3 linked regions of the Ovis aries genome follow. The protein of the gene in region 2 purifies or fractionates together with the protein of the main gene of each other region. This does not show direct contact. Links are inferred from orthologs where the notes say so. Each region holds a gene or a part of one and is shown on either strand. Other genes may lie near its edges.

Region 1 (5,997 bases), on a different chromosome or scaffold from region 2:
CCTGTCTTATTCCTCCTCCAAGATCTGCAGCAAACACAGAGCTCCTGCCCACGGGCCAGACACTTGCCAAGTGCCCAGTAAGTCACTCAGCCCTAATAACAACCCAAAGAGGTAGACAGCGTTGTCGCCCCCATTTTACAGCTGAGGAAACTGAGGCAAGGGAGGTAAGACACTCGCCAAGGTCACAGCACTAACCACCAACAGAGCACCAACTGGAAACCCGGGGTCTGGGCTCCAGAGCCCATATTCTTGACCACACATCAGACCAATCCATTTCTATTTTTTAAACACAGTTCTCATAAAACACCAAAAAAAAGGGAAGTGAAAACAAATCTCTGGCCACAAGGTGAGTCAATGGAGCAGAGGCTTTGGAGAAGCTGGGCTTCTTTTTTCCTGAGCAAACAATGAGACCTGTGAACAGTGTCATGTTGAAAGCATGTCCAGGGTTCAGAGCCACTGGGAGGAAAAAGCAGGGAAAGAAGTTATAAGTTACAAATACACAGGCTGGAAAGACTTTTTCCAAAGACAAACACCAAAACAGAGGAAGTCCTGGCTGTGACCCTAGGTTGCTATGAGACCAGGGCTTGGTTTTGCACCTGTAATATGGTGTTCATAGTAGCTGCTTTTGAATTGTGGTGAAGACTCTTGTGAGTCCCCTGGACAGCAAGAAGATCAAACCAGTCAATCCTGAATATTCATTGCAAGGACTGATGCTGAAGCTCCAATACTTTGGCCACTTGATATGAAGGGTCGACTAGCTGGAAAAGACCGTGATCCTGGGAAAGACTGAGGGCAGGAGGAAAAGGGGCGACAGGAAGAGAAGGCTGGATGGCATCACCGACTCAATGGACATGAGTTTGAGCAAGTTCTGGGAGATGGCGAAGGACAGGGAAGCCTGGCGTGCTGCAGTCCATGGGGTTGAAAAGAGCTGAACAAGACTTACCTACTGAGCAACAATTACCCGCTCTAACTCACAGAGCTGTCATAGGACTTGAGCTATTTCCTAAACAGAGAAAGAGGATGCTAAGCTGAAAGTGTTGTTTACAATATGCCAAGGCCTGTACTGGGGACTCAAATGCATTAACTCTTTTTTTTTAAGTATATCTTGTTTTTCTCTTTTATTTTATTTTTGGCTGCATTAGGTCTTTGCTGCTGTGCTCCGGCTTTTTGTAACTGCTCTGCTACAATGCGTAGGCTTCTCATTGTGGCGGCGTCTCCTGTCGCAGAGCACAGGCTCTGGGCCCAGGGCTCCAATAGTTGCACCACGTGGGCCCTAGAGCCCAGGCTCAGTAGCTGTGGCACACGGGCTTAGCTGTCCCAAAGCATGTGGAATCTTCCTGCACCACGATCAGACCCATGTCCCCTGCATTGGCAGGCAGATTCTTAACCACTGGACCACCAGCAAAGTCCCTGCGTTAACTCTTGATGCTCATAAGCTTACAAGCATAGTATTAGTTCTGTTACAGGTGAGAAAAATGAGGCCCAGATTAGTGAGGTAATCATCTGTAACAGCTGACGTCACTCAGCTATTAAGTCGAAAAGGTGGGACCTAAACCAAAGTTGGCCTGATTCCAGTGTCTATTTCTGTGACATTACTCTGCCCTTTTACCAAGAAACCAATGGCCCAGAATTCTGTAGGCAGATGAAAGTGAAAGTCACTCAGTCATGTCCAACTCTTTGTGACCCCACGGACTATACAGTCCCTGCGATTCTCCAGCCCAGAATACTGGAGCGGGTAGCTTTTCCCCTCGCCAGGGGATCTTCCCAATCCAGGGATCGAACCCAGGTCTCCCACATTGCAGGGGGATTCTTTACCAGCTGAGCAACCAGGGGTAGATGAGATCACCAGATCCTGGCATTCTTTTGCAGTAGAAAAATGGAAACCAGAGATCAGCAATGGCAGTTCTAGAACTCTGAGCCAAACTTCCCAGGGTAAAGATTTTGTTTCACTTTCTCTGGTACTAACATGGTCTCATTCCTCTGTGCATTCTTTCCCCCCCCCATGGATGATGGGAGTGTTTAGCTTCTGTTCTTAATTTGATATACATCTTGGAATTAAAACAGTAGATGGAAAGGAGACCAAACTTTGGGAAAGAAGTAAAATTCTGGAACTTTAGATCAATTAACCTAATTTATTGGATGTCTCCATTGGTCCATTGAGGCCTGGGGTTTGATTCCTGGTCAGGGAACTAAGATCCCATAAGCTGGGAAGCTCAGCCAATTTTTTTTTTTTTAATCTAATTTTCTGGTTTTACAAATGAGGAAAAAGATGCCCAAAGAGATTAAATGATGGACTCAAAGGAATACAAACTGTTAGTGTGTGAAGGAAGGCAGCGGCAGTGTGAACCGAGAAAGGGAGAGCTTCTTGGAAAACTTCTTCCCCGACCCATTTTCTTTCTTCTATTTTTTTTCTTCTCCACCACCTTACTCACTGGGGCTCCGTCAATATTCAGGCAGCAGCCACATTGCCTCCTGGTTGTTCCTTTTCACTTCTGCTCTGTCCTTCAACGGTACCAGACAGTCCTTCCCAAGGCAGATGTCTCACAGGGTACCTGATGCCCAGTCGACACACCTGGTCCTGCTTTGTACCAGCCACACCTGATCTCCCCACAGCGATCCCTTGCCTCCCTCAAAGCCAAAACTGCCTGTCTCTTCCATCCAAATGAAGAGTAAACAAAGGACTGCTTGGGTCGCTCTGGAAGCTACAATGCTATTTATCCCCTCTGCGCAGTCGCGAAAGCAGTAACGCTCCCCTAAAAGTTGGATCTTTCGGTCCAAAGGGGCTCCAGATTACGGTTCTTCTTCTGAGACCAGACAGAATTGCACCAAGTGTTAGAGCGACTCCAACCGCAGAGGTCAGGCTGGCCGGGGCCTTAAAACACATCCTGAGCCATCCTCGGCGTCCGTCCCAGTCCGGTCGTAGACGGACAGCACAACGAAGGCCAGGCACAGCCTTTCCACCCTGACGGTTACGGAGGGCCACCCACCGATTCTCCCAGGGCGGTGCTGGCGTGGATGAGGGGAGGAGCAGACCTAGGTTCAAAGCGTCACACCGAGGAAGTGAGGTGCCTCGGCGGGGATCGCGGAGGGCCGGGGGACGGAATCGGAAAGCAGGTTCCGATCAGACAGCGGGGGCTACCCGGGGCTGGCGGGGTCGGGGGGAGGGGACGGAGACGCTCTTCGAGCGCGCAGGGGTCAGACAAGGTGCGATGGGGGTGCGCCAGGCGAAGGAAAGCCAGTGGAGGCCCCTCCTGGCCTCACCGGCCCCTGCGACAGGGCCTGGGGAGATGATAGACGCGCAGGGGGCGTCACGCGCAGGCGGACGGAGAGACGCGGGAGGAAAGGGGAGGGGGCGGGGAGCAGGAGCGGCCCTCACCTTCTTTACGGCTGGCTGAAAGTGGAAGTCACCGGCCTCTTTCAGGTCCAGCCAGATCATGGGCATGCGGGGCACGGCCTCCATGGCCTCAGGCACCCGCCGGCCTCCCGGCCGCCCCCCAAGCTTTCGCAGCTGCAGGCTCAGCCACGCACCCCGCCCCTCCACGCCGGAAGTCACTTGTCACGCGGGGATGAAAAAAATGCCCCTACTGCCTGCTGGGAGAGGCTGTCCCCTCCTCTGTAGGCTTTTGCGCATGCTCATTTCCCGCTGCGCATGCTCAGTTTCTTGCACGCGGGCACGTGTAGAGGGCAAACCTCCAGCCCGAGGCGAAAGGGTTTCTGGGAGTCGTAGTCTATCTGCATCTAATTGCTAAGCAGGGAGGTAACTGGTTTCTTCTTCCTGGGCAAAGTAGACCGCAGGGACCTGGCTCGGGCTCCAGGCTCTCCCCACTCAGGGGAAGGACATTAGAGAACGTAGCCATAGACTTGTAGACCCTAAGTAGTGTCGAGGGCCTTGGTAGATGGGGTCAGATGCTCTGGTAGAGATAACGTGGTGGCGGGCCACCCCCAGAAGCAGTGACTTAAAAACAGCCTTGGAGTAGGGGCTGCCTGGCCAAGGAGACAGGGCTAACAAGCAAAGGCGTGGCACCCCAGGTGTCGAGTTTTGGAACAGAGGAGTGACTGGTTGGAGACTGGCACGCTCGGCTGAGCCTGTAAGACCGGGCACTGCCTAAGAGACGGCCAAGTCCGTTTTTGATGATGGGGAGAGAACTGGTAAACGAAGTGTAAAGCGTAAGGGGAAAAAAGAGAGAGAGAGAGGCCTAGAGCGATGGGGGTGGGGATGACTATATACAGCCTCGGGAATGCCTTTCAGTCTGGAAGGGGACCAGGGAGCAGAGAACAGTTATTAGCTCTGAAGAGATGACCTGTAGAGCAAGGATTTTAAAATCATGTATATATTACCTAGCTTTAAAAACACGTAAAATGGAGAATGGTTTGTTGGGGCAAAAGTAGAAGGAAGGAAATGAGCGAGGACGTTTGCAACCATGGACTGTAGCCCACTAGGCTCCTCTGCCTCTGAAATTTTCTAGGCAGGAATACTGGAGTGAGTTGTCACTTCCCACTCCAGGAGAATCTTCCCAGCCCAGGGACTGAACCCATGTCTCTTACATCTCCTGCATTGGCAGGTGGATTCTTTAATACTGTGCCACCTGGGAAGCCCTTGGATGACCAACTGCACATTTTTTCCTCAGCAAAAAAAAAAAAAAAAAAAACTCTCATACATTCTGGCTCCTCCCTTACATCTTTAGAACAGTCCCTCCGAGCTGAGAGACTACATCGCAGGCTTAAGTCTTCACTAAGGCTTCTGAATAAAACAGAATTCTCAACTTTTAGGTTGTTCTTTCTTTTTTCAGTTGACAACTCTCTATGTCCCCTGTGCCCCAGCAGTGGAATTGCTGGGTGTGTGAATACAGGGTATTCAGGACATCTGAACAACTCCTGCCCAGGGAACACCAGAAGGTGTGTCCAGAAAGAAGGGTCACAGCCACCCAAACAGGAAGCATGGAGCCCTCCCCTGGGGCCACCTTTCTTAGATGCGAATCCAGAATCACTGCATTACAGGTGGGGAAACTGAGGCAAGGAGAGGGGAAAGAAGCTGTCCCAAACGCCATGGAGCCTCTGAGGGAAGGTCAGAGGAGAGGTCTCCTGTGGCCAGGGAAGGGAGAGGAGAAGGGTGAAGGGAAGATGGGAGCTCTCCTGGTCTCAGACCTGGCAGGCTAGAGGCCAGAGGCAGAAGAATGCCATTGTGTCTCTTCTGTCTCGGCCAACATCCGTGTTCCTGGCGCTTGCGGAGGTGGCCCCCTGCTCCCCTGGTTCAGAAAGAGCAGCGAAGAAGTAGCTGCTCCTCCCTCCAGAGTGTCCAGAGCCCTCTAGGAGCCCTTGAGGCATTGGTTACTTTCTCCCTACAGAAAAGGTTCCAAGAAGACAGATTTGCTAATATGAAGAAGGTTGGGGATCTCTGAGGCCCAGTCACGAAACCGAACCTCTCCCGAGCACCCAAGTTACTTGGCCAGCAGATGGCAGCAAGGCCACAGGGTTGTAACGAAGCAGTTGCAATCCTGGGACACCAAAGCCCCGTAGATTGGAATTGGAAATTAGGGACATGTTTTGTTTTGCTCAGAACCAGGTTTACTTCTTGGGGTGTCTGTGAGTGGAAGGAGGGCAATGGGGGATTCGTTCCTCCCTTGCCGAGGACAAATGTCCTCATTCAGGCGTTGCCAGGGAGAGCCTCAGGGTAGACAGCCTTCGGGATGTCCCAGACACACCCTCCCAACTGCTTGGTGCCAGGCTGTGAGCGCGCCACATGGGGCAGAACTTTGAGACACTCTGGCCTTGCCAGTGAGAGCCTGGAGGCTGGGTGGCACCCCCTGGTGGGGGGTGGAGCAGGGCAGGGGGTATAAACCTGCTAGCTCAGGACTAAGGTCAACCTGTGGGACTGAGGCCACAGTCTTCCTAAGTCTCTGTGTCTCTGGGGCAGCTTGTATCCAGATTGCTGGTTGTAGAACATCAGATGTGTGTCCCCGGGGGACCAATGTGGCCACAGCCGCTTTCTCCACACCC
Region 2 (5,441 bases):
ACATCTGTGTCAGTCTGTAAGTAGGATTATAGCTTGATATTTGTAATGGTAAAAGCAGTTCGAAATTTAAAAATGATTTAAATGCTTTGTATTTTGTAAACCTTTTTTTTTTTTAAATAGCAACATGTGGTGTATTTAAATTTATGGCTGTCACCATCATTCTGCTCCTTGTAGGATTTATTGTAACAGTATTAGAAGCTGGCCATGTAGATTTGAATGGGGAGGGGTGTTCTAGAAAGTCATCAGTTTGAAACAAATGTGAGCCATATATGCCTAATTTTGAGAATGTGAGTCTAGCTCTTAAAGCAACTACAGATTCAGCTGATGGTATTAATGAAAGTCCCGGTGTGATGATTTTATATCCTGAGTGCTGCTGGAGACTTATAAATCATGTTACTCTTTTGTTGTAAAGGGTATATGTGGGAAGGACCTGGTATTTTGCTATGACTCTGGATATTACTTCATAAAAATTCATGGAAACTGAGTTGGACGCTCTGCAACTATTGGGACATTTCTTTCTTTAAAAGAAAAACCAAGTTTATGTGACCCTTTCCCACAAGTGTGGAACCGATTCTCATTTTACACTGATAACCTCACAGAAGAAGAAAATTAAGGTTTCTTTTTTTTTCCCTCCAGGAAGCAAAGCTAACAGATCAGTTACCACTTATCATTGTGTGCGATCGATTTGACTTTGTCCACGATTTGGTGCTCTATTTATATAGAAATAATCTTCAAAAGTATATAGAAATATATGTACAGAAGGTAAGTAATACTTAGATAACTTGAAAATATAATCTTACAGATTTTACTTCTTACACTGGGCATCTTCATCCTTTTGAAACCCTGTGCTCAGTAAGAGTGGTGTGCTGCATTGGCTTTCCATTTTTTTTCCCCAGTAGAATCCTTTCTTGGATTAAAATTTTACATGCATTCCAAGTATGTAAAACAGAACAGAACTGCAGCAGTTGAAAAGTTGAGTGGCCTACGCCTTACTTACCGGATAGTCCCTGAGGTATCCATGTAGAGGCCACAGCCTCCAAAGCCCAGTATTAAAACCATCTTAAATAAAGGTATTAGAAACTTTGCATTCTAACTCCAGAAGGCAGTTTTGCTACGATGGAGGCCTTTTTACCAGATAATATTTTCAGTCATTCTGTTCCTTTCGCTTCTTTGGACTTATTTCTCCTTAGGAGTAATAAGGCAGACTTCCTACTAAATTCCTTTGTCTAGTGTCAAATTTAGAATCTGTTTATTACTGACTTTTAAAACAGGTTGAAGAGGAAAATGCGTTTTTCTTGCTTTTTGCTTTTTTTTTTTTAAGAACTCTTTTCAGTTTTGTTTCTTGGTAACATAATGCCATTCTTTTTTTTTTTTAAAACCATAGGTGAATCCAAGTCGACTGCCGGTGGTTATTGGGGGATTACTTGATGTTGATTGCTCTGAAGATGTCATTAAAAATTTGATTCTTGTTGTAAGAGGTCAATTCTCTACTGATGAGCTTGTTGCTGAAGTTGAAAAAAGAAACAGGTGTAGTACTATTTTAATATTCACAAGTAGGATAAATTATTAGTCTCTCCTAGCATTGTATTAAATAGAAGTATAACCTGTCCGTTGCCTAAAACTACTCAGTACTCATGGATCTTAATTCCCTAGAGATGCCTAATTTAGAAGTGATAAGCTAGCTGTAACTTGCTGTATACGGCTGTCATATAGAATATCTGTTAATCTAGTCATTCACCTTTTTTTGATTAATTAATTTTAATTGGAGGATAATTTCTTTACAATACTGTGGTGGTTTTTGCCATACATCGACATGAATCACCCATGGGTGCACATGTGAGTCCCCTTCCTGAACCCCCCTCCCAACTCCCTCCCCACCTTATCCCTCTGGGTTGTCCCAGAGCATCAGCTTTGAGTGCCCTGCTTCACGCCTTGAACTTGCACTGGTCATCTGTTTTACATACAGTAATACACATGCTTCAGTGCTTTTCTCTCAAGTCTTCCCACCCTTGCATTTTCCCACAGAGTCCAAAAGCCTGTTCCTTACATCTTGTGTCTCTTTTGCCACCTTGCATATAGCATCTTTACCGTCTTTACTGTATTGGTATTTCTCTTTCTGACTTACTTCACTCTGTATGATAGGCTCCAGTTTCATCTACCTCCTTAGAACTGACTCAGATGAATTCTTTTTTAGAGCTGAGTAGTATTCCATTGTGCATATGTACCACAGCTTCCTTATCCATTCATCTGCGTATGGACATCTAGGTGGCTTCCATGTCCTAGCTGTGGTAAACAGTGCTGCAGTGAACATTGGGGTACACGTGTCTCTTTCAGTTCTGGTTTCCTTGATGTGTATGCCCACCAGTGGGATGGCTGGGTCATACGGCAGTTCTGTTTCCACTTTTTTAATGAATCGCCACACTGTTCTCTGTAGTGGCTGTACCACTTGGCATTCCTACCAGCAGTGTAAGAGGGTTCCCTTTTCTCCACACCCTGTCCAGCATTCGTTGTTTGTAGACTTTTTGATGGCGGCCATTCTTATAAATGTGAGATGATGTCTCGCTATGGTTTTGATTTGCATTTCTCTAGTAATGAGTGTTCACCTTCTTTTTGCATGTTTATAATTACATTAAGTCAAACCACACAGCTATGTGTTTTTAATGTAAACTATGTAAAAAGCCTCCTTTTAGGTATGATACCTAGTAACTAATTACTCTCTGGTAAATAATCAAGTATGACAAGAGAAAAACATTCCCTGTATAACTCTGAGTTAAACTTATTTTTAAGTTGAACCTTGATATAATATGAGTTAGGAATTTCCAATAGAAGAGAACATAATATGAGTGCTTCTGATAGTTAGATCATGAAGTCTTTTTTTTAGCCAGGACATTGTGTGTTCACAAAGTGCTGACATAGTAAATGAGGTTAGTGAGAAGTAATGAGGTTAAGTAGGAAGTTCCTCTAGCAATGAAACCATCTCAAGAATAGGGTTTAATTTTAACCTGAGTTGGTACAAGTGTTCTACTAATGGAAATTTATAACATAATTTATATCTAAATGTTTCAAGCTAAATGTTTCAGAAAATGTTTGAAAAATTCTGCACTTAAGGACAATGGAGATGTAGAATATAATACTGAGTTTTATTTTTTTAAAGCTTGAGACTGATTTAAAGTGATTATTGTATAGTTGCTAAGTCGTATCCAACTCTTCTGTGACACCATGGACTATAGCCTACCAGGCGCCTCTTTCCGTGGATTTCTTGTAACTATTTAACATGTTATTTAAACCATGGTAAGAGTGTTGGTCATCTGAACCATTGGAAAATAAGCTATAACTTAGCAAAACCATGGCCCTTGGTGGAGTGATTGATTTTATGACTGCTAGAATTTTACCAGATTTTGTTCCCAGTTATGTGTTTACTTACGTTACTGCTTCTTTTTGCTGTATGTAATGTTGCATGGTAATTGTGGTAAAATTAAAAGGAACCGCAGATAATGTGGCTTGTTTTCTCATACCACATCTCTGTCCTACTCCTAAGCAATATTACTCAGAGGTCCAGCCATTTGCCCCATATGAAAAAGAATAATCTGTGAATCTGTAGTCTCTTCTCTCCATATCCTGTCTAGATAATGTAGCAGATAGGTCTGGGAGAGTATGAAGGACAGTCTTATATACCTTCTGTGTAACATTGGACAAATCCTTTAACCATCTCTGAGTCCTAATTTCTCAGTTTCTGATAGAAATGTTGAGAATTCAAAATAGGGTATGGGAAAGCACTTTATAGACCATAAGGTACATAGCATGTCAAGAGTGTGTTATTTATAATATAGTATATGTATATGTGGGTTTTTTTGTGTGTTTCTTTTCTTGTTTTATTTTTTTACTAGATTGAAACTGCTTCTGCCTTGGCTGGAGGCCAGAATTCATGAGGGCTGTGAAGAGCCTGCTACTCATAATGCATTAGCCAAAATCTACATAGACAGTAATAACAATCCAGAGCGGTTTCTTCGGGAAAATCCTTACTATGACAGTCGTGTTGTTGGAAAGTATTGTGAGAAGAGAGATCCGCATCTGGCCTGTGTTGCTTATGAGCGTGGCCAGTGTGATCTGGAGCTTATCAATGTGAGTACTGCCAGCTGACATATAGAGAAGACAGCATTTTTAAAACCTGTTACATAATGTTAGACTAGTGAATTTTGAGAGTTTCAGAGTGGTTTTAGGTAATATGGAGCATTTTTAGAAGGTACACGCTTTTTTTAAAAAAAACTGCTGATAATTATGAACTTAAACTGGCCAAAGTAGTTGATTACATTTATATTCACCCATTGACATTTACGCCCCGGTTTTATCGCGTATGTTCTCATACACTCATATGTACACATACATGTATATATTTTTTACATATACGTGTATATGTATAGGCACATCTAACCTTTTAACCTTATGAGAATAAGTTGCGTACCTCATGGCTTTATAACCCTTCAGTGAGTATTTCCTAGGAATAAGGGTATTCTCTTTCATGACCACATTATGGATAGCAACCTCAGTCAGTCTGATACTGGTAGAATACTGTTAAAAATCTGTTTCGTTCTGATTTTGTCAATTGACCTGAGAATGTTTTTTAAAAGAAAATTTTCCCTTTAGTCTAGGATTACATACTGCTTGTACGTGTCATATCTTTCATGTCTCTTTTAACCTGAAACACTTCTTCAGCCTTTGTCTTTTAGTGACAGACATAATTGGAAAAATAGTCTTTTTCTCTTTTTTTATTGAAGGTAACATAACATTAGCCATTTGAAAGTGAGTAATTCAGTGGCAGTTAGTACACATACAGTGTTGTGTAACCATTATATCTCTCTTGTTCGGAGTTCTTATTCCAAGTGTTCATCACCACACGAGGAAATCCAGTACTCACTAAGCAGTTGTCCCACATTCCCTACCTCCTTCCAGCCCCTGACAGCCTCCAAACTGCCTTCTGTCTCTGGATTTACCTATTCTGGATATTTATTAGTGAAAAATCGCTTTAAAAAATAGAATGTTCTTCGCTTTGAATTTCTCTTATTGTTCCTCCTGATTAGATTTAGATTGTATGTTTCCATCCAAAGTGCATTACTTAAGTGATGTTTTTCTTATGCTGTAACATGCAAAAGCACCTTATGTCTTTAGTCCTTCATTTTGAGGGTCACTTTTCATTAACTTGTCAGCTTCTCCATTATAGAAATAAATTTCCCCTTATAGATGTGTTTCCCCTTGGAGGTATTAAGTAGTCTGTGAGGAGACAGTTAAGACCATGTGAGTATCCTATTTGTGTGTGTCCCCGCCCCCAATTTTGAATCTATTAATTCTTACTAAGCTATTCTTTTGTGTTGGTTGCAAAATGACAATTTTCCAACTTCATCATTTTCTCCATATTTATCAGTCAACGTGCATATTTTCATGGA
Region 3 (6,200 bases), on a different chromosome or scaffold from region 2:
AAATTCCCCACAGTTTAAAACAAATAAACACCTGTAACAGAAGTCACCCAACTCCGCCTTCCCACCATTTTTCTGCTCATTTACTCAGCCACATCCTACTGCCGAAACGACTCATTTGTTACAGAAGGTGGACTTCATGTGCTCATTTTTGTTCTCTACGTCTATTACAGCTCGAGGGGCATTCCTGAAATAAACACAGGCCATTAAAAAACCTGTTCTAATCGAACAGGTCCCCATTTAATCATGATCTAAAAACCATTTCCCCCCTTAGTATTACACAGTTAATTATGTATTATTTAAAAGGCAACTACTGTACTTATGGGCAATAGTCTACCTCATTTGAAGTTCCATCCTAACCAAGAATATTATGCTATTCATTTTAGCTACAATGAAAACCAGTACTACATTGCAGTCTGATTCTAGTTCCTATAACCCACCAAAATTAAAAGTGCACAATACATGTAATATTCTGGAATTTACCCCCAAAATGATAAAGCAACATCATATCACTGTTTAAGGCTGTCCACCTAAGAACGAAGAAACAGAATTCAAAGTTAGTTCCACAGTCCCATGTCCAGTCTTTCTCAACATTGCTCCTCTATACCTCCTTCACTCTGCAGTTACATTCTTTAGAACAATACCAGTTCTGCAGGTTTACCAGAAGAGTCTACCAAATGCACCTGAGATCAAGGTAACCCACTCTGGTGGAAAGGACTGAGGTTTCACGGTCAGAAGACTTGAGCGTGAATCCAGAATCTCTCAGGAACTGACAGGACCTCATTACCTTGAGCAAATATTTACTCTCTGAGCCTAAATTTCCTCAAGGGACAATTTAGGACAGGTGGTGCTAGTGTAAAGAATCCGCCTGCCAATGCAGGAGACTCAAGAGACGCAGGTTCGATCCCTGGGTCAGGAAGATCCCCTAGAGTAGGAAGTGGCAACCTGCTCCACTATTCTTACCTGAAATATTCCATGGACAGAGGAGCCTGGGGGGCTACAGCCCAGAGGGTCACAGAGTCGGACACATCTGAGCACCCGAGCATGCACACACACACAAGACCACCAACCTTGAAAATTATTTTGTAGATCAAGTTCCTCACTGTTCTGCTCATGCCAGATGCCTAATAAACGACAATTTTATCCTACCAAAGGGCCAGTCACCAATTATACTAATACCAAATATCTCATAAGCATCGCAGATAAACTGTATGGAATTTATTACAGTTGTCATACTTTTTTTCAATCTTTTACTTAAAATGTTTTAATATATAGAAATAAAAAATTCACAAAGGTTAAATATCCTTGTAAAACTGACATTTGACACAAAAGACATATCGGCAGACTGTAAAGTTTTCTTAGAAAAAAAGTCTGGGGTGCTTATATTTATTCAAACCTCATGATCATTTCTTTAAAATGTTATTTGAAAAGCTGCGTTTTATTGGGAGATTGGACTGACACATCTACACAACTGATACCATGTATAACGCAGAGAACTGATGGGAATATACTGTACAGAACAGCGAACTCTCCTTCATGCACTGTGATGTCCTAAACGGGAGGGAAAATCCAAAAAAGAGGGGTATATGTATTATGTATGGCCGGTTCACTTTGCTGTACAGTAGAAGGTAGCACAACATTGTAAGCAATTATACTGCAATAAAAATTAATTAACGAAAAGAAAAGAAAGTTGTATTTGAGAATCCGGAGACAGCTGGGTTATCTAAACAATGGACTACATAATCTACCACAGTCTCCAGGCAAAGTCACAACAGGATGAGAAAAGGGCCTCAGCTTCTCTCAGATTTCCTGGCCACTGTTATTTTAAAACTTGATCACACAAACATAAACAGAGGAAAAAATCCATTTCAGATGAGCTCCACGGGTTACGACTGATGATATTTTTAAGACTTTGCATGAATTTACATTAAATTTTGCAATACCTTATTACATTTTTCTTGCCCATGTTTCCAGGCACTAATGAAAAAATATATATATTATACATAGTTTAAAATATTATATAGAGAGTTTTTAATCATTATCTTTTCTTAACGTTGCTCACCACTTCCATTACTCCCTCTTAAAGTCAGTTTTTGGAAACTAAAATGTAACTTAAAAGCCAACAATGAATAGCATGTCGCACAGAACATACAAGTGCAACTGGGCAAGTGTGCATAAGACTAAAATAACTTTTGTTTACCACTATGCAAGTAATTAAGCTGGATATTTAAAAGTCAATGAGTTATTTTAAAAGGTTGCTTTGTTTCAAGCTCTGGCTATAGACCAAGTTGTGGTGTTACTAAAACTAATATTAAAAGACACCAAGGTAGTTTTTTCAGTAAACAATTTTCAATGGCAAACCACAAGCCAAGGAATCTAAGAGGTTTAGTTAATTTGTAGAGAAGCGTCCTTTTGCTGCCAACCTTTGTACCATGACCAAGTTCAAGATTCACATTTTATGGTGTGAACAGTGTTCAGCTAAATCTTAAGAATAACACTTTAAAACTCTCAAACCCAGACGATATTTACCTATACTGCATCTACACGGTCAGAGCACAACCACCAGGAAAACTTACTTAGCATGAACAGCAGCCTATTAAATTGGGGCAGTGTTCCTAGCTCCTCAGATCTGTAGATTAGGATTTAAGCATTCCTCCACTACAAACTTCACGCCGGATAAAATGTAACACTTTTTCTAAAACTGTATAGAAATATTTCTGATACGGATGCTCTAATAACAATAACCCTCTCAAAGTATTTCCTTATCCCAGAGTTTGAGTAATTTTAATCGTTTAAAGAGTTTCGGAAACTTACAAATATGAAAAGCTCTTGTTCAGTAGCAGATACATAAATTTAAAAACCCAAAACACTAGACTAACCGAAGACTAAAAATGCAAGTTTACATAGTCCCAATCCGGGCTCCTGTATGATTAATAGTAATAGCAGCTGATTTTCGCATCCCAGAACAAAAAGTACTCTTTCTGCACTGAATTTTAAGCTCGTGGACGAAAGAGAAAACTGTCACGGAGCGTCCAGGTCTGAGCTGGACACCTGAGTGCTCTGTTTCAACCTGGGAGCCAGAGGTGATACACAAAGGTATCTTAGCGATGACAAACCCATGAAAGGAGACTCTCATTGTCCTGTGGAAGTGAGACCCAGCCCTGAGTTCCCGGGACCGCCGCCGCCCGGGCCCACGCATCACCTGCTTCACCCCCGGCGTCCTGGGGAGAAGAACCGAGCCGGCTCGTCGACCCCGGGCGGCGGGCGGAGGCCTCGAAGCGAGGCAGGGCTCGGACAGCGAGGCTGCAGAGGGCGAGGCGCGGGCGCCCCGGACACTCACCGGTGCGGACGCGAGGGCAGGTGCGCGGCGGCGGGGCTACCTGTCGCCGGCGAGGCTGGAGGGTGGGGTCTGGGGCTGACGAGGGCGAAGAGACAGCGACGGCGAGCGCCGGCACCGGGACGGGGCGGCGGCGGCGGCGACCGGTCTCCGGCTCGCTTCCTGCTCGGACAGATCCCGGGTCCGTCTCCACCCGCCGGCCGGCGCCCTGCCGAGTCCCCGGCCCCGCCGCGCGCACGTCACGGCTACGGAGCGCCCGAGGGGGCGGGGAGGCCGCGGGCCCGGCGGGCGGAGCGGGCGCGCGCGCCGGGAGAGGGGGGCACGCGCCGGGGAGGGGGCCCGCGCCGGGAGCACAGAGCGCGCGCGGGGTGGGCGCGCACCGGGGAGAGGGCGCGCGCGCGCCGGGAGGACGGGGCGCGCGCGGGGTGGGCGCGCACCGGGAGAGGGCGCGCGCGCGCCGGGAGGAGGGGGCACACGTCGGGAGGAGGGGGCACGCGCGGGGTGGGCGCGCACCGGGAGAGGGGGGCGCGCGCCGGGAGGAGGGCGCGCGCGCCAGAAGCGGGGGCGCGCCGGGAGGGGGCGCGCTCGGCGCAGAGCCGCCCCGCCCCTCCTCTCCAGCCCGCGGCGCCGAGCCTCCCGGACCTGGTGGGCGCTCGGCTGCTCCCGGAGGAGCCTCCCCTGGCCTGGCCCGGAGCCCTAGTTCCTGCCCCCGCAAAACCGCCTGGTTCGCGGGGCTGTGGTTCCCGGCGCCTGCAGAGCCCCCTGCGGACTGTGGCTGCAGGGACGGTGCAGTCCGTCGCAGCAGGAATCAGTTCCCGGACGGAGAAAGTAGTTCGGGGACGGGGCGAGGACCCTGGGTTGTGGAGAGGGTGGGGGGGTAGTGGGGGGCGGCGGGCCGCTGGGCGGAGGCGGGGGGAGGCGGACTCCCCCGCAGCCTAGGGCTGCGCTGCTCAACGAGGGTGGTCACCTCCCCGTGCAACAAACTTGCTGTTCTGCTTTTGGGAACGGGGGTCTGAGATGGAAATTTTGCATTTCTTCTGCCACCGCCGTATACACTTAGTGGAACCCAGATATAATCTGTTTATTTGTTTTTCTGTTTGTACAAGTGACATACCTGTGAGTCGTATTCGAAAGTTTAATATGATGAAAATATGTTTCGCCTTTACGACAAAAAGAAGTTTTTTTGTTTTGTTTTGTTTTTTTAAGAAAATGATATGCTGACTATAATGCTGAGAGTCTCCGCGGAGAAAAAGCTAGTCGTACTCACAGCAATTACCCTGTGAACATTAACCCGGAAACATTCCAAGTAGCAAGGGGAAGGCTTCAGGAAACCTACAAGATTCTGATCAAGGACAAGTTTGGGAAATCTACAAGATTGTGATGGGGACAAGTTTCAGTTATTTAGATGTTCCACAGTTCTAGGGGGAAAGCTAAGTTATGATGAGGTATTTTAGCATAGAGTTAAAACATAAGATGTTAAGAATAAAATAGGAAAGTAAGAAAGAGGAAGAGAAACCAAGAAAGGAAATAATTGACAGCAATCTCAGAAATTTAATTCCAGATTGCCAGGAGGTAAAACTTAATTAGATTTCAAAACGAAAAGGAGTGGATGGTTTCAGTTCACTGCTTTGACTTCATTTTGGATTTAAGATTAAAAGGCTTTGACAGACCAATAGAAGCCCATACACACAACTTACTGTGAGTAGTGACTTGATTTTCTCTCTCTCTCCCTCTTCCTCCCCTTCCTCCTCCACTTGCAATTCATTACTGTCTCTTTGCCCCTAGCTCCCTGTTTCTCTGGCTTCCCTGGTGCCTCAAAGGTAAAGACTCCATCCGCCCAGTACAGGAGAGGAGGATTGGCTCCCTGGTGGGGAATATTCCCTGGGGAAGGAAATGGCAACCCACTCCAGTATTGTTGCCTGGAAAATCCCATTTGATAGAGGAGTCTGGTGGGCTACAGACCATAGGGTCACACAGAGTCTGACTCAGCTTAGTGCCTAAACAGCAGCCCTGCCTCTCTGGTGTATCCAGTTTCTCCTAGCAGCTGCTGTCTTATTTCAGGCCGTTCACGCGGCATTTCCCAGGCTGCAATCTTGTCTGCTCCTAATCCAGTCTGTACAGTACCATCAGATTTGCATTTTATAAAATGAAAGCCTGATTAGGTACTCCTCTCTTTAAACTCCTGTGGAGGCACTCCACTACCCTTGGTATAAAGTCCAAACTCCTTGGTGGTTTACTCGCTAAGTCGAGCCGACTCTTGCAACCCCATGGATGGTAGCCTGCCAGGCTCCCCTGTCCATGGGATTCTCCAGGCAAGAATACTGGAGTGGGTTGCCACGTCCTTCTCCAGAGGATCTTCCTGACCCAGGAATCAAACCCAGGTCTTCTCCGACGGAGCTATGAGGGAAGCCCAAACTCCTTAAGATGTCTCATATGATCCTTCAACTGTTTTTGTTTGACTAGCACAGTGGGGATCTCCTTTGTCTTTTTTTTTTTTCCAATGAATTTGGATGCCTCCTCATTGTTTCCTAGTTTATCACCGTGCTAAAAATCCATACAGCCGTCCTAACAGCTTCCTCACAGACTGAGTTACCTTTCTTGGAAATTGCTGGCCTTTTAGACTACTGTCTTAGCCCTGCTTACTTGTCTAGTTTCATTTCCACCCACTGCCTTTTGCCATTTCTTGTACTTTACATTCAAGCCCTTCTGAAGTGCTTGCAGTACAGAACAAACAGCTATGCTATGGATTGCATTGAAGTGTTGCCAGACTAAATACAGTTAATTCTTCAGAATAAAGCCTTTTGGTCCTCTCCAAGAAATTTTCCCTCAAAACCTTGTTTCAAAACTGCGGTGCAGTATGGTGCTC

The links. The genes of interacting proteins can lie anywhere in the genome.
Region 1: the proteins of CLTC (region 2) and PTPN23 purify together in Homo sapiens (affinity purification with mass spectrometry; 3 studies listed by BioGRID and IntAct, with this or other methods). This does not show direct contact. The link is inferred for Ovis aries from reciprocal best matches to the Homo sapiens genes CLTC and PTPN23.
Region 3: the proteins of CLTC (region 2) and MYO6 purify together in Homo sapiens (affinity purification with western blotting; 4 studies listed by BioGRID and IntAct, with this or other methods). This does not show direct contact. The link is inferred for Ovis aries from reciprocal best matches to the Homo sapiens genes CLTC and MYO6.

What each region holds. Positions count from the first base shown.
Region 1 is NC_056072.1:52,287,099-52,293,095, forward strand, and holds the start of PTPN23 (tyrosine-protein phosphatase non-receptor type 23), read right to left. Parts: upstream 3,556-5,997; 5' UTR 3,461-3,555; coding exon 3,377-3,460; intron 1-3,376. UniProt on the Homo sapiens protein: Plays a role in sorting of endocytic ubiquitinated cargos into multivesicular bodies (MVBs) via its interaction with the ESCRT-I complex (endosomal sorting complex required for transport I), and possibly also other ESCRT complexes.
Region 2 is NC_056064.1:10,330,934-10,336,374, forward strand, and holds part of CLTC (clathrin heavy chain 1), read left to right. Parts: intron 1-636; coding exon 637-762; intron 763-1,384; coding exon 1,385-1,527; intron 1,528-3,887; coding exon 3,888-4,122; intron 4,123-5,441. UniProt on the Homo sapiens protein: Clathrin is the major protein of the polyhedral coat of coated pits and vesicles. Two different adapter protein complexes link the clathrin lattice either to the plasma membrane or to the trans-Golgi network.
Region 3 is NC_056061.1:2,585,406-2,591,605, reverse strand, and holds the start of MYO6 (unconventional myosin-VI), read right to left. Parts: upstream 3,556-6,200; 5' UTR 3,338-3,555; exon of another isoform or gene 3,200-3,337; intron 1-3,199. UniProt on the Homo sapiens protein: Myosins are actin-based motor molecules with ATPase activity. Unconventional myosins serve in intracellular movements. Myosin 6 is a reverse-direction motor protein that moves towards the minus-end of actin filaments.